Linked DNA regions of Drosophila melanogaster. The protein of the gene in region 1 purifies or fractionates together with the protein of each later gene. This does not show direct contact. Each region holds a gene or a part of one and is shown in the gene's direction. Other genes may lie near its edges. The genes, in order: slpr and alph.

Region 1 (16,771 bases):
TCAAGTCGTATTTTAATTGGTTGAGTAATGGATTGTGAAAGTTCAATTTCAGGTTACTTCGTCATAAAATTGACATAAAAAAAATGAAAATGTTGTTTATAAATTTGAATGCAGATTTTAAGATATATGAACAACAAACATTTTGAGGTATGCCACTTTGATTTCCGATTTATATAAGTTGAGTTATGGACTTCAGAACTTCAGTCTTGGGGCATTTTTCAACTTTTTCGAATTTCCGACATCATAAAAATGACAAAAAAATTTTGAAAAAATAAATTTCCAATTTTGAATGCAGATTTTTAGAGAATTCAATCACAAACATTTTGAGGTATGCCACTTTGAAATGCGATCGATATAAGTTGAGTTATGGACTTCAGAACTTCAGTCTTGGGGCATTTTTGATTTTTTAGAATTTCCAACATCATAAAAATGACAAAAAAAATTTTGAAAAAATAAATTTCCAAATTTCAATGCAGATTTTTAGAGAATTCAAACACAAACATTTTGAGGTATGCCACTTTGAAATGCGATCGATATAAGTTGAGTTATGGACTTCAGAACTTCAGTCTTGGGGCATTTTTCAACTTTTTCGAATTTCCGACATCATAAAAATGACAAAAAAATTTTGAAAAAATAAATTTCCAAATTTGAACGCAGATTTTTAGAGAATTCAATCACAAACATTTTGAGGTATGCCACTTTGAAATGCGATCGATATAAGTTGAGTTATGGACTTCAGAACTTCAGTCTTGGGGCATTTTTGATTTTAAGATCCAACATCATAAAAATGACAAAAAAAATTTTGAAAAAATAAATTTCCAAATTTCAATGCAGATTTTTAGAGAATTCAAACACAAACATTTTGAGGTATGCCACTTTGAAATGCGATCGATATAAGTTGAGTTATGGACTTCAGAACTTCAGTCTTGGGGCATTTTTGATTTTTTAGAATTTCCAACATCATAAAAATGACAAAAAAAATTTTGAAAAAATAAATTTCCAAATTTCAATGCAGATTTTTAGAGAATTCAAACACAAACATTTTGAGGTATGCCACTTTGAAATGCGATCGATATAAGTTGAGTTATGGACTTCAGAACTTCAGTCTTGGGGCATTTTTCAACTTTTTCGAATTTCCGACATCATAAAAATGACAAAAAAATTTTGAAAAAATAAATTTCCAAATTTGAACGCAGATTTTTAGAGAATTCAATCACAAACATTTTGAGGTATGCCACTTTGAAATGCGATCGATATAAGTTGAGTTATGGACTTCAGAACTTCAGTCTTGGGGCATTTTTGATTTTTTAGAATTTCCAACATCATAAAAATGACAAAAAAAATTTTGAAAAAATAAATTTCCAAATTTCAATGCAGATTTTTAGAGAATTCAAACACAAACATTTTGAGGTATGCCACTTTGAAATGCGATCGATATAAGTTGAGTTATGGACTTCAGAACTTCAGTCTTGGGGCATTTTTGATTTTTTAGAATTTCCAACATCATAAAAATGACAAAAAAATTTTGAAAAAATAAATTTCCAAATTTGAACGCAGATTTTTAGAGAATTCAATCACAAACATTTTGAGGTATGCCACTTTGAAATGCGATCGATATAAGTTGAGTTATGGACTTCAGAACTTCAGTCTTGGGGCATTTTTGATTTTTTCGAATTTCCGACATCATAAAAATGACAAAAAAATTTTGAAAAAATAAATTTCCAAATTTGAACGCAGATTTTTAGAGAATTCAATCACAAACATTTTGAGGTATGCCACTTTGAAATGCGATCGATATAAGTTGAGTTATGGACTTCAGAACTTCAGTCTTGGGGCATTTTTCAACTTTTTCGAATTTCCGACATCATAAAAATGACAAAAAAATTTTGAAAAAATAAATTTCCAAATTTGAACGCAGATTTTTAGAGAATTCAATCACAAACATTTTGAGGTATGCCACTTTGAAATGCGATCGATATAAGTTGAGTTATGGACTTCAGAACTTCAGTCTTGGGGCATTTTTGATTTTTTCGAATTTCCGACATCATAAAAATGACAAAAAAATTTTGAAAAAATAAATTTCCAAATTTGAACGCAGATTTTTAGAGAATTCAATCACAAACATTTTGAGGTATGCCACTTTGAAATGCGATCGATATAAGTTGAGTTATGGACTTCAGAACTTCAGTCTTGGGGCATTTTTCAAGTTTTTCGAATTTCCGACATCATAAAAATGACAAAAAAATTTTGAAAAAATAAATTTCCAATTTTGAATGCAGATTTTTAGAGAATTCAACCACAAACATTTTGAGGTATGCCACTTTGAAATGCGATCGATATAAGTTGAGTTATGGACTTCAGAACTTCAGTCTTGGGGCATTTTTGATTTTTTTCGAATTTCCGACATCATAAAAATGACAAAAAAATTTTGAAAAAATAAATTTCCAATTTTGAATGCAGATTTTTAGAGAATTCAATCACAATCATTTTGAGGTATGCCACTTTGAAATGCGATCGATAAAAGTTGAGTTATGGACTTCAGAACTTCAGTCTTGGGGCATTTTTCAACTTTTTCGAATTTCCGACATCATAAAAATGACAAAAAAATTTTGAAAAAATAAATTTCCAATTTTGAATGCAGATTTTTAGAGAATTCAATCACAATCATTTTGAGGTATGCCACTTTGAAATGCGATCGATAAAAGTTGAGTTATGGACTTCAGAACTTCAGTCTTGGGGCATTTTTCAAGTTTTTCGAATTTCCGACATCATAAAAATGACAAAAAAATTTTGAAAAAATAAATTTCCAATTTTGAATGCAGATTTTTAGAGAATTCAACCACAAACATTTTGAGGTATGCCACTTTGAAATGCGATCGATATAAGTTGAGTTATGGACTTCAGAACTTCAGTCTTGGGGCATTTTTGAATTTCTGCAGGCTTCTTTTGATTCTTTAAAATGAATACTTATGGTAAGAGTATAGTTAATTCGATTGAACCCACCTTGCCCTGGGACGAGGAGATCGTTGAGGCCGACGGCGTGCCCGAGGATTGTGCGCTTAAGTTGGAGCGGCTGCTGTTCGCTTGCATCGCGCAAGGCAGAGGCGCCACTTCAGCGGGGGCTCCTGTTCCCCCTTATCCGGTTGCTCTTCCTGTTGCTCCACGAGTTCAGCTGTCTAAGCTCCAAGACGAACTCCAATTGGCATCAAAGTCTCACCTGTTGGCTGCGCCTGACAATGGGTGGCGGAGAAGGAGATCAGATTCTGATGTGGATGTGGACTCGGATTCGGATTCGGATTCGTATTCGGAAGTGGAGACAGAGATGGCACCCAAAACCAGGTGGCACTGATGCTCATGGCGCCCGTAGTCGAATGTCATCAGATCGAAAGCATTACGTCTTTGGATTGCAGCTAAATACAACAGCTTGATTTGGTTAACGCTCTTAGTCGAATAGTTCCTTAGTAAGACTTGGTGTTCTGAAAGGAATGGAAATGGAATGGAAATACTACTTCTTAGATCTCTGACATAAAGTTAAATCTAGTTAATGTTTTTAGCTTAAATTTAACACGCTGGCTGCTCTTTTGTTTGCTCGATTGTTCATTTACTCTCTCTCTCTCTCTATCTCTTGAGTTTGTCTGGAATAAAGTTCTGTCTCTTCCGCGGAGCGAGGAAAAATCAACAGAAAAAAAGGAAAGAAGCTCTGCCAGCAGCGCAGTCGCCGCGCAGCCGCAGCGCAGCAGCAGCGCTGGCAGTTGACTCTGAAATGGCCAAAAATAGGGCTAGGTCATCCACATCGTGTTACCACTCATGCAACACAAAAAAGAAAAAATAAATGCACAGAGAAAAATGTCATTAATTTAAATAGTCTTAAGTGTTTTAAGTGCTCAAGGGGCTGCCTAAAAGTCAAGGTTTTTTTTTTTTAAATAATGAGTTAAATATGAAAAATAATATGTGTACACCTTGAAAAAGAACTATGTTTTCTTGAAACCAAACAAAAGCAAGTGTAAGACTAACAAATGGCACTGATATCAGGCCACAAGAAAAATCATAGCATACTTATGGACAGCTCTCTTTCAAGTTTTAAACGCTTGACAGCTAATTTCGAGTGATTTTCGCGACTTTAGCCACTAAAACAGTTTGCCAGCAATGGTAAATATGTAAAGCATCCGCATTTTCGAGTGTGCAAAGTATAGTACAATGAATGCTTTGCATGGACAAGGACAAAGGCGATGCCGAATATCCTTTGGATGCTGCAGTCACGCCCATCGAAAAAAAAGGGGCGACAGCGTTTCCATGCCAAGGGCATGGCTCGTAGCACCCCATTACCATTACCAAACGACGCCCACTTGCCACCAACCACCCGATGGCCATCCACCCGGTTTTTCGCCACTTTCGCAGCGTTTTTTTGGATCCCAAGCACAAGCACATTTTGCGGCGCAGACATAACCTCAACTTCTTGCGCGCTGCTTACCACGCTGCCGGCGTCGCAGTCGGCGTCGCGGCTACCAGCGGCAGAGGCAACAGCTTTACATGGATTTATGTCTATATGTGTGCGTGTATGTATGTGTTTGCCTTTGTGTAAAAATGTGTGTCTGTGTGGGTTTGTGTGAGTGAAGGCAGCCATCCGATTTTCCCCCGATTTTTCTTTTGGCAAAAGCGAAAATAGTGTCAAGGAAACTATTGAGAGACGGTAAAGAAATTAAATAATAGATTAAGTAAGCTGTCAGTCAGCGAGATTTGAGCCAAACTAATTTTAGACTAACAGTTTTACATTTTCATAGTGATAACAGCCTGCAAGCGAACGATTTTCGCTGATATCTTCTATTTTTCTGTTTTGGTTTTGCTTCTATCAGTTATTTGTTCCTTAATGCTTAACAATGTTTTCCCTGCCCTAAAGTTAATAGCATATGTTTAATCGTTTTAATTAACCAATAGTTTACCTCGGTTTTGCGCTGCTGAAACTGCAGTTTGTTGACTTAGGTGATTATTTTAAATTAGTTTTATTACTGGATCTATTTTGGCTTTTTTGTTGTGCGTTTCGTTTTCCTTAAAATTAACTTGATAATTTCTATAAATATATGTATATATATATTTTTTCTTTTAATTTTTTATTTACTCTTTTTTACTCATGTGCGTTTGCATCATTGCCCGTTTTACATTTTCGCCTTGGCTTCTCGCATTTCGATCATTATTTTGTTGTATTTCATTTCAGCCAGGGATTAAAGAACGGCAAAAAAAAGTTACCCAAAAAAAAAACAACAAGAAAATAGCGACACACACACGCGCGCGAAATCACACCCACACATACGCACGCACACACACGCACGCATACGCACACACACACACACACACTGAAAAACGCGCACGCGGCGGAAAAAAAATATGAGCAATTTTTTGTATTTTTTGGTTATATTTTGTGTTCAAATTAGTTGGTGCGTAAAGTTTATTATTTATGTATATTTTCAGTCCGGTTTCCGGTTTCTGCTACATTATTCGTGGGATTTCGTGCAAGATGGCGCATGCAAGACGCTACGCAAAATTTACGATTTTCTTAGCGAAGAGTTAGCTCTCTTTTCGGTTTCTATTGTGTGTGATTAGTTGCGTTTGCCGTATTTTTAGCCCGTTCCGGAGGATTTATTACGTGCAATCCGCCCGTGCGCTGCGCACGCCCGCGTCTGCCGCCGATTTGGAATTGCCACGACGTTGCGTTGAAATGTTGCGCGTAACTGAGTGGCACAGCCTGGTGCTGCCGCCGTTGCTGCTGCCACTTCTGCTGCTGCCGCTGCCGCTGCCGCTGCTGCTGCTGGTGATGCTGGCACACAGCCTCGCCGACCACTGCCGAGACTGCTCTCCTCTCCGGGCGAAGCGAGTGGCGTTTGCCCAGCGGTACAGGTCCTGGTCCTGGGCCGTAGTGTCCTGCGCCGCTCTGCTCCTGGCTCCGGATCCGGCAAAGGCTGTCACTACGACTACGGGAGTTGCGGATGTAGCGCCACATCAGCCAGCAGCCCGGTTTCGTTTCGGTTTCCATCGGCTCGGCACGAGTCGCTCTGTTGCCGAAGCACAGTGGGCCCAATCGGACCATAATTAGATGTTCAAAATTGGTTAATAATATTACAATATTTGTGCAACATAAATGTGAAGAAAATTATCTACGCTATGTTTCTAGCACTCGCTGCTTGTACATTTTTTAGCAATAAAACCTTGAAATATCATAAACATGTGTATAAAGATGTTGAGATGCATAAAATACACTAAATTACAACCAATTAGTTAATTATTGTTTTAAATTATCGGCTTAACTCTTTAAAATGTCATATTTTTATGGTTTTTGAGCGATTGATTAGCATTCCATTCCACTGTGCGATGCCGACGCTGGACCAAAAGGATGAACGGCGCAGCGTCGCAGCCGAAAGGACACGAGCGCCGCCGAACTTTTCAAGGGAGCGTAGCAGAGGGAGGGGACTTACTAAACACATGGCATGGACTAGGCCACCCAGCATCCACAAGCCACTAACACCCACCACCGACCCAATACACACCACCCACCACCCACACAAGGGCGCGTGTTGGGCGCCCGACGAGAGAGTCAGTGGCGTGGGTGGGGGGTTGGTGGTGTTGGTAGTGAGGATACACAGTATACACAGCGTTCCGTTCCGCGATGCAACAGCAACATCATCAGGCCATATCCGCATCGGCAAAACAGGCCAAACAGCCAAAGCGGCCAAAGCAGCAGCAGCAGCAGCAGCAGCTGTAAGCCCCCCTTTTCCATGGATTTCCCCGACTTCTCTGCAAAAATCATGCGCATCACGAAATAGCCGAATATCAAAACGGAAAACATATGACAGCGACATTCCATTTGAAACGTGATTTTAAATAATTATTTCACATTATGTGATTTAATCGAAGTGCATGACATTCGATATATTCAATCTTTAATAGTTTTAAATGAATGCAAGTGTTACAATAGCCCCATTGATGGTAGCATAATTTTCAGTTTGCATTGATAACGACTAAGTTCAATTATTTATTCGATTAAATATTAAGTTGTTAAGTTGTTAAAAACTGAAGAAGTTCAATTAATGCAATCGTTCTGGTTTACGGTACTTTAAATTCAGTTAATTTAAATTTACACATCAACAATGCTTTTGAGTTTTGCATGTATGTTAATAGGATTTAAATACTAAAATTTTTACATTTCAAGCACATTTCAAATTTGAATATTAACGGTCAATAAAATAATCGACATGATAAATACCAATATTGAAAATACTGAATAAGGTATTTTGAAATACCAAATATTTTGCGTTGCCCAACACCGTTTTGATGGCATTTTTTAGTACATTTGCGAATGGAACTAGTATAAATGCAGCAACTGGTTTATGTGAGCCACAACAAAATGATCGACAAAACCTTGTTCTACCACAAATATTAACAATTACCAATATAAAGGTATTTAAACAACTACCTTGATCACAATTTTAGTTAAAATTATGCCAACGAACTGGAACCAAAATCCCAGGTGAACCGCAAATGTAACCAGTTCACTCGGCTGGGTCCAAAGACCAGTTCAATTAAACTAGTTCACATTTGAACAGTGCAACTCTAGTTTTTTTTTTTTAATACATATGTGTTTAAAAAACATATGCAGAAACGGGCTAATAAAACGGATATAACCGATTGCACAGGATCAAGGATAGATCAAAATAACCGACGACGTTAACGGCGACTGCGACTGCGAGAGAGCGACCATGGTGTGCAGCAGCGCGTGTGCGTGTGTGTGTGTTTTGTACCGTGTTGTCTGATTGTGTGCCGTTGTTGTTGTGATTGTTGTTCTCGCTGTTGCTATTGTTTTTGCTCTTGTGCGTGTGGTCAACGGACGGACAGACGGACGGACAGTGGGACACAAGGAGAGTGGAGAATCCGAATCCGGTGGGCAGGAGAGCAGGATTAGCCGCAACATCCTTACCCGTAAGCTGACCCCACCCCACCCCCTTTGGCAACAAATATTACTAAGCTGCTGCTTCTTCTTCGCCCCTTTTGCGGTTTTATCTCTCTTTCACACACAGCGAAACAAAAGCAAGTTAAAAAGCGAAGGAAGCAAAGAGAAAACAACAAAAAAGGAAAAGAAGCAGAAAACAAAAACAAAGAAGAGATTCATGGTTTCCATGTCGCCAACTGTGCGCCTCTGATGCCCTCGCAGGTCTCCCGAGGATTGGACACCACCAACATGCTGCCGATCAGCGAGGAGCAGCAGCTGCAACAGCAGCAGCAGCAGCAGCAGTTAGAGCAACTGCATCATCCGCAGATACCAGAGATTCCCATACCAGATCTAGAGCAAGTCGAGACCCAGGTGGGCGATGGCAGCCTGTGGACCGCGCTGTATGACTACGATGCCCAGGGCGAGGATGAGCTGACACTGCGACGCGGCGAAATCGTTGTGGTCCTGTCCACGGACAGCGAGGTGTCTGGCGATGTGGGCTGGTGGACCGGCAAGATTGGAGATAAGGTGATTGATTACCTTTCTAACAATGAACCATTGAACTAAACCCCAATCTTTCTCCTGCAGGTCGGTGTCTTTCCCAAGGACTTTGTCACCGATGAGGACCCACTGCAACTGAATGTCTCGTCCGCCATTGGCGACATCCAGCCGCATGAGATCGAATACAATGAGCTGGACATCAAGGAAGTTATCGGCTCCGGTGGCTTCTGCAAGGTCCATCGTGGCTACTACGATGGCGAGGAGGTGGCTATTAAGATTGCCCATCAAACGGGCGAGGATGATATGCAGAGGATGCGGGACAATGTCCTGCAGGAGGCCAAACTGTTTTGGGCCCTCAAGCACGAAAATATAGCAGCCCTGCGAGGAGTATGTCTGAATACCAAACTCTGTCTGGTGATGGAGTATGCCAGGGGAGGAAGTCTCAATCGCATACTGGCTGGCAAGATACCACCCGATGTACTAGTCAACTGGGCCATTCAGATAGCCAGAGGCATGAACTATCTGCACAATGAGGCGCCCATGTCGATCATACATCGCGACCTCAAGTCCTCCAATGTGCTGATCTACGAGGCCATCGAGGGCAATCATCTGCAGCAGAAGACGCTCAAGATCACGGATTTCGGTTTGGCCAGGGAGATGTACAACACGCAGAGGATGAGTGCGGCGGGCACGTACGCTTGGATGCCACCGGAGGTCATCAGCGTTAGCACCTATTCCAAGTGAGCTCCATTTCTCTCACACTCTGTCGTCTGTCTTCCTAACTAACAAAACTCCTTACCCGCCAGATTCTCCGATGTTTGGAGCTACGGTGTCTTGCTGTGGGAACTGATAACGGGCGAGACGCCCTACAAGGGCTTCGATCCGTTGTCCGTGGCCTATGGCGTGGCTGTTAACACGCTGACATTGCCCATACCAAAAACCTGCCCCGAGACGTGGGGAGCCCTGATGAAGAGTAAGTGAACGCAATAGACAATGATCCTATACATATTATTGTAATATTTCATTATGTCCAAATCCCGCAGGCTGCTGGCAAACGGATCCGCACAAGCGACCGGGCTTCAAGGAGATTCTCAAACAGCTGGAGAGCATCGCATGCTCCAAATTCACCCTAACGCCCCAGGAGTCGTTTCACTACATGCAGGAATGCTGGCGAAAGGAGATCGCTGGAGTGCTACACGATTTGCGCGAAAAAGAAAAGGTACCAACTGTCTGGAAAACGCCAGGCAAACTGAAAATATAAACTCCCCCTACCTGTTTGAGTTGCTCTAGATCGTTTCTAGACCGTTCCTTGTTGGCCTTACGCCGCGCCCTTCAGTTCTTCCATAGTCGTTCCCCTCTTTCTCCCACTTGGTCGTTGTTGATGAAATTCTAATAATTTGGTATATACTCTCTCTCCAAAACAAAACAATACAAAATTCCCTTGTTTTACAATAAAACATCCAACGACGTTAAGCGTTTCCAAACCATCGAAGAGGTAAGCGCGTCCAACAGGTTTCTCTTGCCCGCCGTTTGCGTTTCAATTGCGTTGCGTTGCGTTTCGTTCTGTTGTTTCGTTTCGTTTCGTTACATTACTTTACTCTATTCTACATTACTTTACTCTATTCTATTTTACCCAAAGTTATCCTGTTTTTTTTTTATTATTGGCTGGATAACTCCCACGATAGAGCCGCACACAAGCCAACAGCTGCATGGTTTCTAGTTCCTAGTTAATGCTATTTTCTAGCACATGTCCCCGTGTACAGTGATCATGCTTAGCCCACACTAACCCGCCACGTTCCACCATGTTATCCCTTTTAATCCCGACAGGAACTGCGCAACAAGGAAGAGCAGCTGCTCAGGGTGCAAAACGAGCAGCGCGAAAAGGCGAATCTCCTGAAGATCCGGGAGCAGAATCTGCGCGAGCGTGAAAGAGTGTTGATCGAACGGGAGCTTGTCATGTTGCAGCCGGTGCCATCGAAACGCAAACACAAAAAGGGCAAAAAGGTATGTGAGTCAAATTAGCCAAAAAAAAATCTTGCATAACATATCTTATATCTATCTTTTAGAACAAACCACTGCAGATATCGCTGCCCACGGGCTTCCGGCACACGATTACGGCTGTACGCGACAAGGCGGAACAGCCGGGATCACCTTCCTTCTCCGGATTGCGCATCGTGGCACGTGAGTACTTTGTCTATCCCAGAGATCTGATTAATTTGAGGGTATTATATATAGTACAGTCCTATGATGAATTATACTTTTCAATCATGGTTTTATGGTATATTTGTTAGACTTAACTCTATGTACGTATGTCTCTGATGAGAATTCAGTGCATTATGCAGGTCTTTGAGATAAGATTAGGCATTAAGTAGACCCAAAATTAGAACAGGAGACTAGACGTCATGGCCATGGGAATGTAAGATACCACCTCGTATCGTTGGACAAATTGAACTAGATTATTTGCATATTTTTGTTATCATTATTTTTGAATTAATTTTTGTATATTTTATTGATTTGCCTTTGGTTTCTTCGTTATGTTCTTATGTTCCGTATTATTTTGATGACATTGGGGTGAATCAGTGACCGATGGGCACAAGGGCAAGACGTGGGGCCCGTCGACGATGCACCAGCGGGAGCGATCCCTATTGCCTTCGCAACTGAGCGGCGGTCAGCCGGAATGGCCCGCCCAGACCTCAACTCACTCCTCATTCAGCAAGAGTGCTCCGAATCTGGACAAGAAGCAGCAGCAGCAGAACCAGCAACAGGTGGCCTCGCTGACACCGCCGCCGGGTTTGGGAATTTTGGGTGGAAGTGGAGGCGCTGGTGGGACGCCGGCCACACCATTGTTGTACCCAGGTATACCCATTATACTAACGCGCCCCAACAACAACAACATTGGCAATTGTAAAGCCATCACCACCACCATCACAACTACCACCACCACAACCACCAACAACAACAACAACAACAACAACAGCATCTCCGCCAACAACAACAATCAGCTAAATAATATTAGTACTATTAATAGCAATAACAATAACAATCAAACTAACCTGACCTCCCAACCGAACACGATAATTGTCCTCCAAAACGGCCGGAACAACTCCAACAGCAGCACCACCAGTCAATCCCCAGCCAAGATCTACCATCGCGCCAGGAGCCAGGAGTACGGACTTGATCATCCGCTTGCTTATCAGCCACCACCACTCTATTTGGTAACGGATGACAGCTCGGAAACGGACACCGTTGCCAGTCCGACCGGTTGCTTTCACTTCCTGAAGTCCGGCAATTCATCGGCGGCCAGTGGTGCCGTGCATCTGCATCGCTTTGGCGGCAGTCTGGGCAACAGTCCAGCTGTGGGCAGAAAGAAGCATTCGCTGGACAGCAGCAGTCATCATCCGCCTGCGAACGGTAGCAATAGCTTTGCACTGCCCAACCAGTTAACTCTGCCATCGGAGGATAACAATACGTATGACCATGCCTTCTATCGGGATGTGATCAAAAAGATGTCCATGGCCAGCAGCGAAAGGGTAAACTCCAAATCCAGTGGCGACCTGACCATGTACAACTCCAGCACACCGCTGACTGCCAGGGATTGCGATGATGCGGAGGAGGCCTTCGAGGGTGGACGCTTTCAGCGTAACTTTTCCGGCTCGCAGTTTCCACGGCACTGCTTCTTCACCAGGCAGGAGGAGGAAGGGGAAGCAGAGGATGAGGACGCGGTGGCGGCGGAGGTGGACACAGCAGATGCGGATGCCGACGATGAGTGTCAAGTGCCCGCCAGTCAGATGCGCCAGAACTCCACCACGTCGCGCAAGAGTTCAGTGACCTTCCAGAGCGTCAGTTTCGAAGAGCCCGATTTTGTGGCCACGCCGCGAACGACTGCCAGATCGGATCTATATACATCCAGTGCCTCAATTAGCTTCGCCACCTACCGCTCCGCCTCGCCATCGCTGTCCTCATCGTCCACCACTGCGTCCGCCTCACCGTCCATTGCTTCTACGGAAGCCGTGAACGGCTATCACATGCAGGAGAACTCCATACTGAATACGCGTCGGATGCAAGATGTTCAGCCGCATCCCGATGTCATTAAGCTGCGGGCCCAGGAACAGCGCCAGCAGACCAAGAACCAAAAGAAGCAACGGCCCAAGCACATAACCAAATCCAAGTCTGTTGAGGCGCCAGTCGAGGGACAGCACCATGAACATGATGACCACAATGATCCCCAGCACCAGCATCACTCGGCTGGATCGAGCAAAATCCGTGCCCTTTTCAATCTCTTTACGCGCTCGCGAAAGAAGTACAGCAAGCTGGCGGAGCACAACATGGTCGGTGGACCCGAGTTCTGTGCCATTGATCCCTATCAAACCGATTTGGCGATGGGGGGCAGCAGTCGCTCTTTGAAGCGCAAAGGCAAAAAGCCGCAGACGCAATCCTGCGAGCAACTGGAGCGATGCTAAAGTCCCAGTTGTGCGCCGTGCTGCAGTGTTGCTGTTGGAGTTGGCCGCCAGATGAGAACCGCCTAATTAGCTCATTGTTTTATATTAAAACTGTAGACTAAGTCAGACGCAAAGGAAGAGCGAAGAGATGAAACAGCAGGCGAGGATTAGCCATAGCTAATGTGTGAAATTAGTAGGGCCCAGAGATACAGATACCTATCCGAATTCTTTCCGTCTAACGAAATCATAGAACTAAACAAAAAACCCCTCTGTCCGCGGTTGGCATTTCATAATAACCGAATTGTTCCTAACGAATGCAATATGTTGTGCGAAATTCACAAATCAAGTTAATCCCTAATTAGTCCAGTGATTTGTTTTGTTTTTTTTTTTGTGCCAGAGGAGTGGCTAGAAAATTGCAATGTGTAGCACAGAAGTGAGGACGAACTTTTGAGGATCAAACGGATAGATAGACTAACGCCGCTTGTACGTAGACAAACAGACACGGAGAGAAAAAACGTGTGCATGGGCCAATGGCAAAATATATTGAACTAAACCATATACATAAATGTGTAACAATTGGATTAACATTAAGCTATATTTATACCGATGCGTAAGTGCGTCCTTACACATTACACATTACACACATCTTAGTTGAACTAAGTTCTAGTTTTGTAGGAACTCGAACATTTTTTTGGAGTCCTTCCTCCTTTTTTTTCACCCCCTCAATCTTTGTAAGAGATATTTTCCAAAATTTCCATCGCTTGCGGCATTTCGTTTGGCTTAAGTACACTTAACGAAAAGTTGCGGTGCACATTAATTTTAATTTGATATTCGACTTTTTTGGTATTTTGAGCACAGTTTTATTTACATACATTTATTATGCAATCGGGTTTTCCATTTTATTTATTTATGATTTATTTCTACAAAAAAAAAAAAAAAAAAGCACAAGAATAATCGCGCAAAAGAAAGAAAGAAAAAAAAACCTGTGATCAAAAAACGATGATGAAACGAAAAGGAAATGATCATTTTTTTGTATTATTTTTATGAAAACTTTCAATTGTATATTTATACTTCATTTTACGATTTGTTCATTCTACGTTTAGTGCTCGATTCTATTTCAATGTACTTTGTATATTATTGTATTTTCCATGTTGGGGCCAAGCCAACCCCAAAAAAAAAAACAAACAAAAAAAAAAGAAGAACCAATACCCAGAAACAGAAATCCGACAATAAAACCAACTTAAGACAATCTGCCGACCAGTTTTGATTGCCTCGCAGCTAAAAAGCACAGAGAAAGTCCAATGATCCAAACTAACATTTAAATTACTTAAACTTATTTAAAGTGAAGCTATCTTTTAATGTCAATTTAACGTGAAAATGACTGAATGAAGAATGGATTTTCTCTGTGCATGAGCACAATCCACAATTTTGGACAGAGAGAGAGAGAGAGAGATTAACCTATTAATATAGGACGAACAGAGTCTCCTTGGTATGCGGTGGTTAAACTTTGGTGTTGCCTGCGGTTACTATCCAACTACTCTTGTACCCCCCGCCTCCGACTATCCGATTACCACCCGACTACCGACCATATCCCAGCCATCGTTCCCCCAAGCCAGTACCAACCATATGCCGTAACTCAATCATGTCTCATATCCGCCTTGGAATGCTGCCGATCGGACCGACCAGGCTACCAGGGCAATAGCAAGATGGATAACTGGCGTCCGGGTGCCACCAACATGCCGATTATGTCGCCATCGCCATATCTCCTCAGCCGCTTCACCAGCAACGTGCCACTGCCGACACTCTATGCCGGCGATTCGGCGCGCAAGCCGAAGCTTTCCGTGATCGAACTGTTGCTGTACAACATGGCATCCCTGCTGGCCGGAGTGGCGGCCGGATATGATGTTCGCATGTCGAACGTGTCGCCAGTGCATCCGACTTTGCTCAGCGAAGTGCCAGCTCTGAAGGCGGCACCAAAGGCAGCGATTACCGGAACGGAAGAGGTGGTGGAGGATTCACTGCCGGAACAGATCCTGGAACTGGAAGTAAATGTGCCACTGAAGCAGCAGGAGCTCAGGGAAAGCACGCCACGTAAGATAGTCACACAAGCAAGGTAAGTGCTAAATGAATCCGAAAGAGCGCGAATTCTTTATACACTATATACTCTATTCCTGCCCCCCAGATTTGGTGGCATTGAAGCTCCGGTCAGCAAATCGCAGCCCACATCTCTGGCCCGGCGCATCGGAGGCAGTCAGCCGTACTACACACCTGTGCAGCGGACACCACAGCATCAGTTGCACCATCACCACCAGCAGCAACAGCAACAGCAGCAGCACCATCATCATCATCCTCACCAGCCACAGCCAGTTCCATCGGCCGTGGTGACAACAGTAGCGCCATCACAGCCGCCAGCCGTGGTGAGTGCACTGTATGCCGGAACCCAGCCACCGACGCCATCGCCACGGCGTAAGCTGAGCAACAGCAGCTTTGGCAATGCCAATCCTCAAGCGGATGTCTTCGAGGAGTTTCGTGTGGGCGGTGGCATTGGTCCACCGCCACTTTATGCGCCAGCCGATTACCTGAGAAACGGACCCAGTTACTCCAACGATGGGGGAAACTACCGAAATGGTTACTTCGGTGAGTGGGCAAGCCATTAGACATTCGAGGAGAATCCTCCAATTTAAAATATACTAATTGCCCGTTGATAGGTTCCAATTACTTTCCATACCGGCCGGAGTTGAACTACAGCTACGAGCGTGACTGTAAATCGTATCCGGACTATTCCTACGACTATAACCATCGCCTGCCGGACTACTATGACTACCAGTATGAGGCGCCACCAGTGGTGCCGCTGCCCGTGACCGTTCCCTGTCCGGTGAGCCAGACCCGTACACCACCACCGCGGGTGCCACAGATGGGCGTAAGTGCGGCCGGACACCGACGCACTCCCTCAACCGTTTCGAACAATTCGAATGTACTGCTGGAGCACGAAGAGCTGCTGTGCTATGACTACAACAATCTCAATCTGAATGCGGAGTACGAGAGGGAATGCGAGCGGGAACGAGAGCTTGACCAGGTGCCGCCGCCGACAAAGCAGGAACTGTATGCAGGATCACCCAAGCTACTGAACCGCCTCATCCACAGTCCGTTGCCGATGACCAAGAGCAAATATGCCACGGCGGCGGTGACGCGACCAGCCAGTCTGCCCTTCGAGCAGCATGCGCTCTCGCTGGGCTATCAACAATCCGGAGCGGGTTCGGTGGTTGCTGCACTACCACCACCACTGGCCGGCCAGTCAAAGCTGCGCAGCTCGCTAAAGAAGTACAATAGTGGGAATGGTGGCAATGGGTCAACATCCTCGCAGCAGGGCACACCCACTAATCCCACGCCGCCGGACTCGTTGACCAGCGATGACAGCTCCTACTTGAGTGCCAAAGAGGGTTCCATTGGCTCCCAGCACAGTCGGGTGCGTTTCAGTCCGGAGGCCTATCTGGATGCCAATCCGCTGCCCGCCTTGGGACGTCGGATGACGGCACCGGCGATGCAGCTGCCACACCAACAGCAGCAGCAGCAACAACAACAACAGCAGAGACGCCAGCGACAGGCGTCCAGTGGCAGCACTCCGTCGCCATCGGCCTCATCCTCCTAGCAGTCGCGTCTGGCGCTAACCTTGCAGTTGGCGCGGAGTCCGGGCGCGGACATTGGGACCGGCGGAGGAGCCGCTGACTTGGCGCTGCATCAGCAGCGAGTACCATATCGCTGGTACTCGGGAGCTCGGCGATCTCGATCGGCGCACTATGAGTACCGCTTGTGAAAGAGCAGGACAGGCACATCCAGGCAAGCGAAAAAGAGA
Region 2 (14,099 bases), on another chromosome or scaffold:
AGCGAGAAAGTGGGGCTCTCTTGTTATAAAAGTGATTTTAAATTGATCTAACTAATAGCATTGAAATCTGTCCTGTTACTTAGAAACTTGATCGTATGATCAGAGATTGAATCCCATTGTAGCACCGATCTCATCATGAATATGATTTATTCAACTTGGCTACACTTTCTCCCAGTGCACTCCTCTAGTTGTGTCGCGTTCTCCTTCGCTGTGGCATTGGCCAATTTGTGGCACTGGGTGAAATCATTGGCGTTGTCCGGCGAAAGGAAAGTTTCTCTTCGCGCCTCCATGTTAATTTCGGGCCGCCTTTGAAGCCTGCCTGGGGTTTCTTCAGTGCTTTCGATTTTTTTATGATTTTGTTATGATTGTGATCATGATCTAATGATTTGTTGTCACTGCTGAGTTTTTCGGCCTCAGCAGCGACGGCCGAACAAAAAGGTCCAATCCGCGCTCCGATAATGATCTGCCGCAATAAAATTGAAATGCGTCTGTTAATCGCTTCGAGATACATAATAATTTTGGGCCAAAAATCCGAATACCACAATGGCCACAAGATAGCCGAGTTCTCTGTGGACTGGCCGCCGCATATCGATCACTTTCTGGATTTCGCATTTTAGGGGAACTTCGATTCGGACGGAATACGCAAAAATCACAGCGGCAGATCGAAGTCAAAAAAGGAAATGGCTTTTCAAGGCGACTAATGGATGCTCTAACCCACTATTGCATTTCCTGGCCATAGCTAATTTTATAAACATATGCCGGTATATCAGAGTATTAGTTACAAAGCAGCATATTTCACTGTATTTATAGTTTTTATAGCCATAACTCTTTGCAACTCGAACTAATTAATTGAGATCAAACATAGGTGTTTGTGTAGGATATCTAATTTTACCCGAGAAACTATAAGCTGTCAATGGAACTTTTTCAGTGACTGTCTGATGTTAGTTCAGCAAAAAACAAAAAAAAACATAGAATCAGCTCCAATTAGTCGGCCAATTACGAATTGTTGGTACTATCACTTTTCAGATTGCGATTGTAGCCAGCAGCTGCCTCGTGCTTTTGTGACTGACATATGTATATATAGTATCTGTATAGTTGAGTGTCTGGCGAGATAAGGCGACCCAGTGCAATGTACCCGCCAGATTGTAGGGCATTGGGCGCAATAAATCTTGGCCTTTTCGGCCGTGGCCTCTGGGCCAGTTCGAATTCAAATGGCCATTGTTTTGGCCAAAGGGCCGACGACAAATTCGGCGGGAGACATTTTGGCCCGACTCCTGATAAAAATCGGCGGGCGCAAGCTGCGATCACTGATCTTTAGATCGACAATATTTATGGCTGATGTAGTAAGGGAGCCAGAAGAATGTCTTAGCTGGAAATTAGAGCAATTAGCTTTGAGCCGCGGATGTCACATGAAAACCCCAAGAATTCCGTATAAAAACGAGGCAAACTAATCAATTGGAATAGGAATAGTTCATGTGACCCCTAACCCTCGTAACCATTTCTCGTGCGGCTACTGTGGGTGTGCCTGTCTCGAGTCTCGGCTTGTAAACAGTTTCACTATCTGATGATTATGTAATTTATAGGGCTCCTGGGCCACCAGCTAGCTACCTGTGCCGATCCGTCGAGCAGATAGTGCCACATAAATAAGTGTGTCTGGCATAAATGTCAAAGGGCATTTAATGAAGTTATTAAACGCTGCGGCCCTAGAGACTACCGTTTCTCCCGAAGGGGGCGTACCGTTCTCTGCTCAGTTCAGTTCAGTTCAGCTCAGTTCTGTTCGGTTTCGGTTTTGGTGATCATAATCTCAGGACCGAGATCCCGATTCCGATCCCGATGCCGATCCCCGGGATCCCGAGTTTCCGACTGCTTTGCATGGCGACCAAAACTGGTTGGGCAATAAAACGCTTGCTATAACGAGCAACAAAATTTGTAACGATTCAATTTAAGGCTACATACAACATGAGCCGTACGCCGTCGGCAAAAGATGAAATAGTCGCAATAGTCGGCATAGGTACGAGTATATCCTAGCCCCCCCCCAAATGGTCCCCTCGCATCCCACCCCATTCTCGGTGGGTTTTTGGCGCATGTTGAGGAGTCGCAGTCCGACTTCAACTTGGACTCGGAGCGGCGGTTGAATTCAATGAAATTTATGAAGACATGACTGGCAATTGTAGTTGCAACGTTGCAACGTCGGCCTAAAACCAGCTCCGCTAAAGACCCAGAGTTCGACGATCCTTCAACGCCTACTTGGCCATTGCGATTACAACTCAATTGTCAATCGCAATTGATTTTCCAGCCAATATTTTACGATTAATTAAGCGCAAAATTTGAGAACAAAGTCGGGGTGTGTCGGCAGTCCAGACAAAAGAAATTGTAGGCGAATGCCTACAAGTACACGTTCTGCAGGTTGGGATAAGATGCGAACTGATTCCGTATACCTGCACCGCTACAGGTCACTCGGTGATTTCTTTTGCCTTTTGGGGTGTGGACAGAATGAAGTCAGAGGTCAGAGGATGGCTATGGAAAGCCACCATTGATAGATGTCCCGATATCGTCGAACATCTCCCGCCAACTGTGGGAAAACTGATGAAACGCAGTGGGACGACTGTCGTTAAATGCGGACATAAAAGAAATTAGCTGGATAGTTTCGGTTTCGGCACTGATATGATTCCAAATTCGGGTGGTCCGAGTCGGGTTTTGAAAAGAACTGTGTTCGAAATCATGAGATGCCAGCAAGTGCATTGCAATCCTATAACACTGATACAACCTTTGAAGTCACCTATCAATTTAACCTATTAATATAAATAATCTACAAATCGTATCCAACAAACTGATCACTTTTGTGTGTTTGTAAAGCATGAAAGCACACATTTTAATTTGGCATAATCATATTTCTTTTTGTTTAGTTTTTAGAATAAACCTTATCAGGTTTTAGGCGGTGGTATAATACCAATTTGCAGTGGTATCCTGCGGAACTGGAGCTCCAGCAAGGCATTTGTTGAGTTCTCCATAGTAGAGCGAGGTGCCCTCCACGAAATCCTTTTCGGAATAGTTCAAGCAGCTTTCCAACTGGCTGTCCAAAGTCTGCAAATGGATCTTGATCTGGACGGCGGCTTCGGTGGCATTCGCCGAGACTTGGTACATGATTTTTGATTGCTCAGCTCCCTACGAAAATTAAGCAGAATTAAAATTATATTTAACTACTGGAAACTATAGTTAGGTCGTATCGAAGCTGAAAGTTTCCTTGACTTTCTAGAACTTACGACGTTGGCGAAGCACTCGAAGGCGAGCACGAAGTCCACAATGGAGGAGCAGTCGAAGAAGGTGTTGCAGCCACGATCCCCGGAAGCCTGGATGCCGAAGAGAGTGCTGTTCCAGGCGGCGAGGACCAGTTCGCTGGCGGTGTCGTAGTCCTTAACGCACTTATTGTAGTCCAGTTCGTACTGGGCCGACAGCCCGTTGATGATGGGTATGTAGTAGTCGAAGCAGCGTACCGAAGTGCCAGGATCCCGAGCAGCCAGCTCTTCCGTTTGCTGCTGAAGGCCAAGGATCTTCTTGTTGGTGGGCAGCTTCAGCTTGGAAGGCTTTACCACGAGGCTAAGGCTGAGGCCAGAAACCAGGCCAAAAGCGAGAACCACGGCGAGCAGGGAGAATTTGGAAAACATGGCTAAAAGTCTCAGATTCCACTTCTTACTGAATACCTCGGTTGCAGAGCTCAGTGATTTTATACCCATTTCTCGAGCTTCTTATCTCTTTTGAAAGCAATTGCCTCTTGTTGGAGGAAATGTCGCATGTCGCTAATTTGTTGTTTCCGGTAATTGGTAAATATTTCTTAATTTAATCTCAAACAAAGTAAATTACATTTATCAGAAATCGTTTCCAATCGGTAGCAGTAACAAGGGTTCAATTTTTACTTCAAATTGAAAAAATGTTGTTCATGGACTTTTAAAAATATCTTTGCTTTTGGAGAAAAGTTCAATTTGTATCATAAACTGAAACCAGCGTAGACAATGTGCCGAAATATAAATTCAAATTTATCGTTTTTGAATTGCAAGCCAATTCAGTACCTAAAGTAACTAAAGAAGAGTTTATTTGTTATCAGATACCCGTTACTTAGCTGGATGGGCGTGGCAACGCCATGGAACAAACTTGTTCTGGAATCTGCGTTATGATTTCTATGATTTCTTATAGTAGAGATACGCTTATAAGGACAGACTGACAGACAGATGGGCGGACATGGTCAAATAGACTCGGTTAGGTGTTACATACTCTTCATGGAATCAAGTATGCCGCCTTACTCTACGACTAAGGGGTATAAAAACTGATGTATACGGATTAAAGCAGTTTTTGTTATAAGACGTGAAACTGTGAATTTTTTAGCATATTTTTTTAAATTTTTTTTTTTTAAATTAAATAATTCACCGACTGATGTTATGATTAAAATTAATATAGTTTTATTTTTCGTATGGCAGCTATTAACAATAGCTGATACAATAATCTTAGGTACTGTCATGCTTTCATAAATAAGTTGGTACCCTCTATATTTTATTCAATCCTGTCATCTATTAAACAACTAAGCTCCACAGTGAATAGCTTGCATTCCTATATTATTTATTTATATAAAACAGAGAATTCAATTGCCTGATATATTTATTGATTGACTTTCTTTTAACGAAGTAAAGGTGCTGCGGTTGTTATTGTTGTTGTTGTTGTTGTTGCTGTGGTTGTTGTAGGGTAAGTCAATGGATTACAAGTTGTGGTGGTTGGTCCGTTCTTGAGGCAGTTGTTCAAAAGCTCGTAGGTATCGGAGGTGTCTTCCACATAGGAGCGATTTGCGTCATTGATGCAAACACTCTTCCGGCTCTCTAGGATCGTATATTGCTCCTGGATCTGAACTGCAATCTGCGTGGCATTGGCCGAAATGGCATAGAAGGTCTTGGAGCTCTCGGCCGAGTTGGTGGAGGCGCATTCGAGGCGGGAGACCACGGTGTCCAGCGGCTGCTGCTCAAGAGTCCAGACCTGGCAATTGGAGTTGGGATACGAGCAGCCGATGTTGGCGGACCTGAGAAGGATCTGGCGATCCTCGGCATACTTCTCGCTGATATGGGATGTGCAATTGTCATAGGCCGAGATGCAAGCCGTAAAGTTAGTTTCGAACTGATCCGCAATTTTGGCCAATTTGGGCTTGTAGATCGAGAAGCACTGCGTGGAGTGATCTGAGTGGACTTCGGCCAGCTCCCTGCTCTGCAGCTGCAGCTCCTGGATGTGGGCGTCTGGTCTAAAGGGAATTTGCAGCTTCACAGCCAGCGAGAGGCCCAGGGAAAGGCAGAAGACCAAGATCTTGGCTTGCTTTGCGAACATCTTGGCCAGGTTAGTTGACGGTGGATGTGACACCCAGACGTATTTATACTCCCATTTATCATTATCTTTTTAATTACACATTAATGTTATATATTTTCAATTACTGATAATGATGGCTCTAAAGGTTTGATGGATGGCAATGTTAAACGAGAGTAGATAAGCTCATGTTTTACTGCCAAAAACCTTTAAGCTTTCTTGATACACTTTTGAAAAACACCTTCATATTGAGCTGATAATGAATAAGTCGTCCAATCCTTTAGCTAGTTTCAGAGGTATAGGATTTAATCGTTTAAACTTGATTAATATTCACTCAAAGTCTTTTATTTACAGCGATAAAAGTTCACGAATACAGGGTGCTCGAGGTGATCTGAATCTTGACTCGAGTCCTAGAGCACGTAGTTCGTGCTGGGAAACTCCCAGTTGGGATCACCCAGGCAGGCTACCATGTCGGCGTAGCACTCGCCGTGGTTGGTGTTGTAGGTCCGGTAGGCTTCGATTTGGCATCTGGATAGCGTTTCCGAGATTACGGACACCTCGGCGAGCAGGCTGGTTTGGTTGTCGGATGCGTTGTAGGAAGCTTTCTCCAGTTCCTTGGATGCCGAAGGACCCTGCGATTGGGTGGTGATATTATTAATGCTATTAAGCGCAAAAAGTTATACAAAATACGGCTTAAAACACTTTAAAATACTCATTAGAGTATGCGTGGAAGATCATAGATTAAGCCACCATTGTACGAATCACTCACCCCAGAGGCCAAGCACTCGAAGGCATCGGAGTTCGAGGTCCTGCCATTGCAGGTCAGGAGGGAAAGGCAGGTGTCCCTCACGGATACGGACAGCTCGTCGCGGGAACTGCGGTAGCTTGAGTCGATCAGGGAGAAGGCCCCGTCGTAATTGTCCTTGCACGCGGTGAAGTCCTCGTTGTACTTGTCCACGTGACCCTTAAGGAGCGGGCTGTAGTAGTCCACGCATTCGACGTTGAAGAGATCCGATCGCATGGCCGGAGAACTGAGCAGGAGCTCCACCAGCGAGGACTCCCTCTCGGTCTCGACGGGAGTGGGCACGGCAGCCACGAAGACGGCGCCGATAGCCAACAAAAGGGGGACGGCCTTGAACGACATATTCACTTTCGACACTTGGAGAACTGGACAACTGGAGTGTGGGGCCCAAAGACCCAGACTTGGCTTTTATACTGTAGTAATTCCAGCAACTAGATTACTAATATTTATGATCCACAAACTATCTGGGGTAGTTCCTGATGTAGACCCCGTTATCGTGACGCCTTGTGGAAGCTCTTCAAATAAAAGGTGTCAATGAAACCCCCAATATCAATTCAACAATATTCATTCCATCAAATAAACTAAATATATTTTACCCATTATAGGCAAAGAGCTACATATGTATATCTACTTTAGAAATTTAACACCATGGAAAATAATTTCGTGTTCTTGTTATACAATATATGTTTAGAGAAAGGTAGTAAATAAGAGACACTAGATTTCGCTGATATTTTTCTTTGAATAATTAATAGTTTTATTATTTAGCTCGTGTATACTAATAATGCATGGCTTATACACCAATTTTATATAAAACATATCAGGAATTCTGTTTATGGTAAATATAGATGCCTACGCAATTTTTATTTACGTCACCTCTAAAATAATTACATTTACTATCAGTTAAGAGGGTATTCACAAATTTTGTATTGCAATTTGTATTAATCACTTGCAGATTATAAAAGATAACACAATTCTAAGAATTCGTGCAGGAAGCACTTTTGGAGTATGGACACTCATAAATTAACGCATACTTAAACTGGCGGAAGCCACAAGAACTAAATGCAGTGGATTTGAACAACTAATTTTTTTGAGTGCACTGCCAGGACCTCGTTTAACACATCTGTTAACATCTGTTTCTACATAGAGTGATGGTGTCTCTTAACTGCATCGCACTTAACATCGCCAATAGGATGGTGTACTTGCTTAGGTGGGTTGCGTGTATTCGCTAGAAGAGTGCCTTCGGTTGCTATCGATAGCCAATAGCTCTTCGAATATCATCGATAAGTATCGCCCTCAGTACATCGATGCCCGATGCTTTTTTACATCACTAGTCACTTTGTTAATCAAAATATTAGAAAAAACTCCATTTCCGCCTCGAAAGTGCATTTCGGGATCGCGCAGAAGTGTTATTAAGTGCGCGACTCGTTCGTTGATCTTAAAAGCGCTAGTAGGCGATGAAAATCAAGTGGAAAACGATCGTTTTTTCTTCTTAAACTTTTACTTACGGCAGACACGCACACGCACGCAGCTCACCGACGCACTCGCACACACACAACCACTCGCACGCGGAGAGAAGAGCAGCAAGCGGAGGAAGAAGAAGCAGATCATCAAACTTAAAATTTGCGAGGTGAAAATAACGAGAGGCGAAGGTTTTCCCAGCACCGAAGATCATAAATCGCGAGTGCGTTTTCATTACCTCCCATTTTTTGGTGGCCATGCCGGATTTCCACCACCCCCCGCCCCTGCTGAAATCGGTGCTGCCAACTTGCTGGCCACTAAACAAATTTTTTTTTTGTGAATGGGATATGGATGCTGTTGCGCGCAATTTTCCCCACATTTTCCACAAAATGTATTTAACGCCCACTTTCGAGTGCTAAATTTAGTCGGCCAAGCGGAAGGACGAAGCCGCGTCCTTGATAAATCGATGTGTCAAAAGGAAATGCAAAAAAGCGCGGGACACAGAGGAAATAGCGGTGAAAAGCGTGGGCGGGCAGCTGCCGCGAGGTCTTCCGCCCCGCCCCCATTTGTGTTTGCGCTTTTTTCCATGTCCTTGCAGTCGGCTTACAGTTATTGTTCTGTGGCACAAGTGCAAAACTCAACAGGGGGAAGCCCCGCAAATGTACCCTGTACATATGTATGAGCATGTATATGTATATTAATTATGAAGCGCCAGCTGATTCCAGTTCGGAATTCACATGTTTTTGCCGGTTTATATATATGTAGTTAGTACCTTATATTTGGAGTCCTTCAGTCTCAACAGTTCAGGTTAAAACAGGTTAAAATAACACAAGTTATAGTAAAAGTATTCAAATCAATAGATAATACTTATTTTGGATTTTCTACCAGCATCCTACTGACGGTCAAGATGCGTTTACGACTCATACAGGTCGAGAATTAGAAAGAGTATAGCAAATAATTATTTCATGTTCAGCTGAAATCAAACTGCCATGAGTCAACTTAACTTCCGTAGAAATTTCTATGAAATGAAATGGTTTTACAAAAGCCGAGACTTGCACATCCGTTTGTGTCAGAAAAATCCAGATACCATTTACAGGAATATTCAGACACAGTATTCAGTTTATTATTTGTGTGTGGAAAACTATAAACTATCTATTTTGGCATGACCTTTGCTTAGTCATCCGCTGGTGAAAGTTCAAGTTCAAGGTCTTGCTGGTTGATATTGATTGGCAGTCGTTTAATGGTTGCATACCCTTGTGTCCTCGATCCGTAGATTCCTTGGCACCGGCTAGCCGTAAGAGGAGGAGAAATTGCACCCGCCCGGCACACAGCACACAGCATGTTCAGTGAACATGGGCGGATTCCTGGATAAGCCGAAAACCGCCAAGCACAATGACGAGGGTGAGGGCAACAAGCTGCTCTTCGGGGTCAGCTCGATGCAGGGATGGCGGTCGGAGATGGAGGACGCCTACTACGCTCGTGCCGGGCTGGGGGATGCCCTGCCGGACTGGAGCTTCTTTGCCGTGTTCGACGGGCATGCCGGATGCAAGGTGTCGGAGCACTGTGCCAAGCACCTTCTGGAGAGCATTATTAGCACCGAGGAATTCATTGGAGGCGACCACGTGAAGGGCATTCGCACCGGCTTCCTGCGCATCGACGAGGTTATGCGGGAACTGCCGGAATTCACCCGGGAGTCGGAGAAATGCGGCGGAACTACCGCCGTGTGCGCCTTTGTCGGCCTCACGCAAGTGTACATCGCCAATTGTGGTGATTCGAGGGCCGTCTTGTGCCGCCAGGGTGTTCCGGTGTTCGCCACGCAGGATCACAAACCCATTCTGCCGGAGGAGAAAGAGCGCATCTATAATGCGGGTGGCAGTGTTATGATAAAGCGCGTAAATGGTACCCTGGCAGTGTCGAGAGCCCTTGGGGATTACGACTTTAAGAACGTCAAGGAGAAGGGACAGTGCGAGCAGTTGGTATCGCCGGAACCGGAGATATTCTGTCAGAGCCGCCAGGATAGCGATGAGTTCCTGGTGCTCGCTTGCGATGGAATCTGGGATGTGATGTCCAACGAGGACGTGTGCAGCTTCATCCACTCGCGAATGCGGGTGACCAGTAACCTAGTGAGCATCGCCAACCAGGTCGTGGACACCTGCCTGCACAAGGTGAGTCTTGATTACCATGCATATCGTCAAAGTTTTCACATGCTGTTCATTTCTTGACTACAGGGTAGCCGCGACAACATGAGCATCATCATCATTGCCTTCCCCGGAGCTCCGAAGCCCACCGAGGAGGCGATAGAGGCTGAACATCGTCTGGAAAAGCAAATCGAGAAGATCACAAGAGGTTGTCTTAGTCGTCTACTCTGTTTATAACTAATCGTAAACTGTTGACCCATGGCGTAGTGGTCTCCTCCGTCTTCGCGTCTCTTTTGAACCGAAATACGTATATTTTGTACCTTGAGCGTCACGAGTACTTTATATGGGCTCCTCGATGGCCTACAGTCCCGACCCAAAGTGCTTCTAGAGCTGTATATGCCCCACTTTGTCCAAAACTAGAATCTTACAAAACAATTCCTTTCCGAAGTAGTTCCAAAACGAAAAACAATACCAAAACGAAAACCAAACCATTGCCATTACTAATGCCAAGAATGAACTCCTCGCACACCCACCTCAAGTACAGTGAAAGCTCTATTGGATGGATAATAATAGGCACTGATAATCTATATGTGTATTTCTAATACTTATTTGAAACCTTTCGAATTTACAAATTCATATCAACAGCAAAAAGGCTGAAGTCCGTTTTTTTTTTTTTACAAGAGTGCTATATAAATGTTGTATACTCTACATAATGTGGCTCATTTATGCTCATATTCTTAGTGCTTAGACATCACGTACATTTAGTTATATATTCCCTTAGAGAGCTTTCACCGATATTTGCCTGTATAAATATGTAAATGGGGTGTGTGTGGGCGTTCGACCAATATCCTATCACTAATGCATAGCAAATACCTGTATAGCGTGTTAGTTTGTCATATCTGGTGGCTGTGCGTGTGGCTGACCAGTGTTCGTCTGCCCCGTGTGTGAGCCTGAGTTATAGTATTATTTATACATGCCTGTGTGCACTACAGCCACTGCCAAAAGCGTTCCATGTATGCGAAATCCAGCCCATTTAGCTTTAGTCGTACATATACACCTAAATAATAACAATTATCGACGAACCTGCCCGAGCTAAGTAGTTAAATGACCCGTCAACCAATTTGTATATACATTTACTTGCATATACGTATACCCCATTTGATACTAGGCGCGATGTGAATCAATCAAACGAAATTGCAATACTTAACGTACGCAGGTATTGACACTCAAAACAAACACTTGGAATTGATGTATCTAAGTAGGAGTAGCGAATTAAATCTTAATTTCTAAGCAAAATCAAATAGGAGAGTATAATGTCTTCAGAGAAGATTAGTTGTAGATAGAAATGTAAATAAGCTGAATAGCTGACAAAAACTTTGAGAAGCAATGAAAACATATATTTTATTAACTAGCAACCGCTCAGATGAACTGTAGTCGTATTACTTGAATTACGTATTTAAAGCAATGAATAACCCTTGGTGGTGTTTATCCGAGACTTCAGTATTCGAGGCACCAAAGTGAAACTCGGCCAAAAACCCGCAGGCCGACCTTGTTGATATAGACAATTACTTTAGACCGAATTCGTACGATTTACAATTAGCCAGTTAGTGAATAGACTTAGAGCATGCATTGCCCACCACTGGTCACAGTAGCTAACCCATTTAGAAATTATTTAGGCTAAGCAATAAACCAATGTCCAGTGTCCAGACGAATTACTTAGCCTAGAGTAGAGTAGCCAAAGGAGTTGAAATGTTATAGAATGTATACGTAGGTTAACGAAACCGAATTGTAAACCTTATGCTCACCAACTGTTGTGCTTGTTGTTAACCGAAGGCAAACGATTACTCCACCCAAATCGATCAGACATATTCCATTCAATCTAAGCAACTTCCCCGAAATATTTGTACTTGGGTGCCCTGGTAAATTGGTGATCCAGTTAAAAGTGTAAAACACACACATCCCACACAGCCGAACATACACGACTTTTAGAGATTAATGAACTACCATTGATGATAGTCAAAAATATAACTTAACGAAAGATTTAAAAACCTAAGCCAAAGTGTTTGTCTGCTGTTCTATTGGAATCATTTCGGCTTTCATTTGCTTATTTCCATTTTCTCTATTCACACTTTTGTTTCTTTGCTTTATTTTTATTATGTTCATTTCGAAAGCTAAACATTCCTTAGCTCCACCTGATTTCGTGAGAGCAGGTTTCAACTAATGCCTAACGTTTATCTAAAGTAATTTGGCAAAAGGAAAATTTTAGCCATTCGCTGTTGTTGTTTTCCGGTTGTTGATCGCGCCTCGTACTACAATTCCCAATTTCCAATACACTATTGCCACCAAATCAGAGCGCGAATTAGCCGAATGGGCCAATTGTCAATGCAAGAACAAGAAACAGAAAGCAATTCAAATTTAAGATGAGTGAGCATAAGGTACGTCTATACTTTTGTAGTTTGTAACTTTTCGAAGCCACTTTGTCATTACGTTATCGTTTATCTTATCGGTTAAATGGTTTGATTTTGTTTTGCCTACACCCACCCAGACCCGCCTCCAATAATTTCTTATCTGTGTGTTAATTGTAAAAAGTGATCCACACAATCCAGCAGATAATCGAGAATGCATGTATCCCATAGCCACAATGGAAAATTGAATTGAACAAAAACCGTTCTATGCAATCCTTTTGCTAAGAAATCCTGTATTTGAAGTTTTCAGTTTGCTATGATCAGATCAATTGGATTGTCTTAAATGTACCTAAGGCTTTTTTGCATTTTATTTCACAAAAAAATTTTGCTGATACCATCAATGCGAGATTGCCAAGACTTCAAAACATGTTAATGACTGCGCTTTTCTATAGCAATCAAGTAAATTCCCTTGTTTCCAATCGCTTGAGAGGCCAACACATACCCGTTTTTTGATATTTTGTATGACAGCATTCGTATCTATATATTGCATTTACTTAAAGTAGCTTAACTGTGTAATTCATATTTCTTTATGGACCATTTATGTACATAAATATTTATTTATAAACGCCATTCGAGCTAACGCAGTGTTTGCTAAACCGCACATTACTAATGATCGACTTCTCTCTGATTTTGTTGCAGACGAGATAGAGTCTAGCAAGATAACCGACTACGTGGATCTGCTGAAGTGTCTGCAGAACAGAGACGACATCGAAGGTCTTCCACCCGGAGGAGGTCTACAGTCCAAGTGAGTGTTTCATGCCCGTAAATAGCGTCCGGCGATTGCTAATCAGTGGTGTTTTTTTGTTTACCTTTGCAGATATCACGTTATCGAGCGCACATTCAAGCAAGAGTTTCCGGATCGACCATGTGAAGTACGAAATCTGTTCTATAATCTGTAACTCAGTTCGCTGCGCTTTCGCCAATGCTAACACATATATTTTATCGCTTGCATAGCACCGTTTTTGGCCATTATAGCCGTAGCCTTTGAAATTGCCTTGTTTTTTTCTGATTCAATCAGTAGATCGACACCAGAGGATTTGGTAATGATAGAGCTATCACAGCAGTTCATTCGATCGTCACCATTCACCATTGTTCCATGTTTAGTTGGGTTCCCCTCTCGGCCCTTAATCGTAACCTCTAATCATGGCTGCCTATTCTCTTTCTTTTTTTCTAGCTGTATGCATATGATGATATATGAATTTTGTAATGCTAATTGTTCATTTTTAAACCAACCAACCAACCAACCAACAACCAACCAGCAAGAGAACAAAGATAACTAAACACCCTATGCTTCACATACTCTAAATGTAAGCAGATAATTCATTATGTTGCTCGTCTAGCCCCAACATCATCATCATCGACCCCCTTCCATTCTGTTTCGCTATGTTTTGTTTCCTTTGTTGCAAGACTTGGAAGGACCGCATGTCTGTCACTGCATGTCTCATCCATATCAACCCACTTTCGTTTCCGCTTCCGCCGCAAGTGTGCATCCTGCCTGAAAATGTCCTAACCCATCGGCTGCCCATCACGGTCAATAATCCAGATATTTGTTATTCTTGCAGAGTCCAACGCATTAGGTTGCAGTCGAAACACGAAACAGAACCAGTTAAACAAATGCAGAAACCAGATCAGATCAGAACCGAACAGAACAGAAAGCAGAGCCACACAACTTGAACGAAGCAAAAACATACAAGAACACACACCAAACAGTTTTCTACTTTGATAAACACAAAAGAAAAACCTACTAATAATGATAATAATAAGAGTAACGATACATTTATAGTTTGTACGAAGCAGTCCTAAACACAACAATACGAACAGCCACGCCCACACAACTTTAAGATATAGGAGAGATCTAGAACAGAGCGTACCTGAGCAGACCTCAGAGACTCGGAATCG

Evidence for each region.
Region 2: the proteins of slpr (region 1) and alph purify together in Drosophila melanogaster (affinity purification with western blotting, with the first as the bait; one study listed by BioGRID). This does not show direct contact.

Annotation. Positions count from the first base shown.
Region 1 is NC_004354.4:8,167,750-8,184,520, reverse strand, and holds slpr (slipper), read left to right. Parts: upstream 1-7,335; 5' UTR 7,336-7,968; intron 7,969-8,066; 5' UTR 8,067-8,227; coding exon 8,228-8,506; intron 8,507-8,566; coding exon 8,567-9,219; intron 9,220-9,285; coding exon 9,286-9,452; intron 9,453-9,522; coding exon 9,523-9,698; intron 9,699-9,953; coding exon 9,954-9,974; intron 9,975-10,306; coding exon 10,307-10,483; intron 10,484-10,545; coding exon 10,546-10,660; intron 10,661-11,059; coding exon 11,060-12,939; 3' UTR 12,940-13,842; downstream 13,843-16,771. Other genes in the region: sdt (stardust), read right to left, coding at 3,004-3,090; CG2278 (uncharacterized protein), read left to right, coding at 14,625-15,031, 15,101-15,555, 15,627-16,567. UniProt on the Drosophila melanogaster protein: Activates the JUN N-terminal pathway during dorsal closure.
Region 2 is NT_033777.3:29,584,402-29,598,500, forward strand, and holds the start of alph (alphabet), read left to right. Parts: upstream 1-7,429; 5' UTR 7,430-7,766; intron 7,767-8,692; exon of another isoform or gene 8,693-8,870; 5' UTR 8,871-8,949; coding exon 8,950-9,762; intron 9,763-9,825; coding exon 9,826-9,943; intron 9,944-12,086; coding exon of another isoform or gene 12,087-12,154; exon of another isoform or gene 12,155-12,170; intron 12,171-12,839; coding exon 12,840-12,945; intron 12,946-13,017; coding exon 13,018-13,072; intron 13,073-13,374; coding exon of another isoform or gene 13,375-13,398; exon of another isoform or gene 13,399-13,507; intron 13,508-13,762; coding exon of another isoform or gene 13,763-13,777; exon of another isoform or gene 13,778-14,099. Other genes in the region: CG7567 (uncharacterized protein), read right to left, coding at 2,932-3,165, 3,264-3,665; CG11470 (uncharacterized protein), read right to left, coding at 4,669-5,361; CG31041 (uncharacterized protein), read right to left, coding at 5,748-5,969, 6,107-6,481.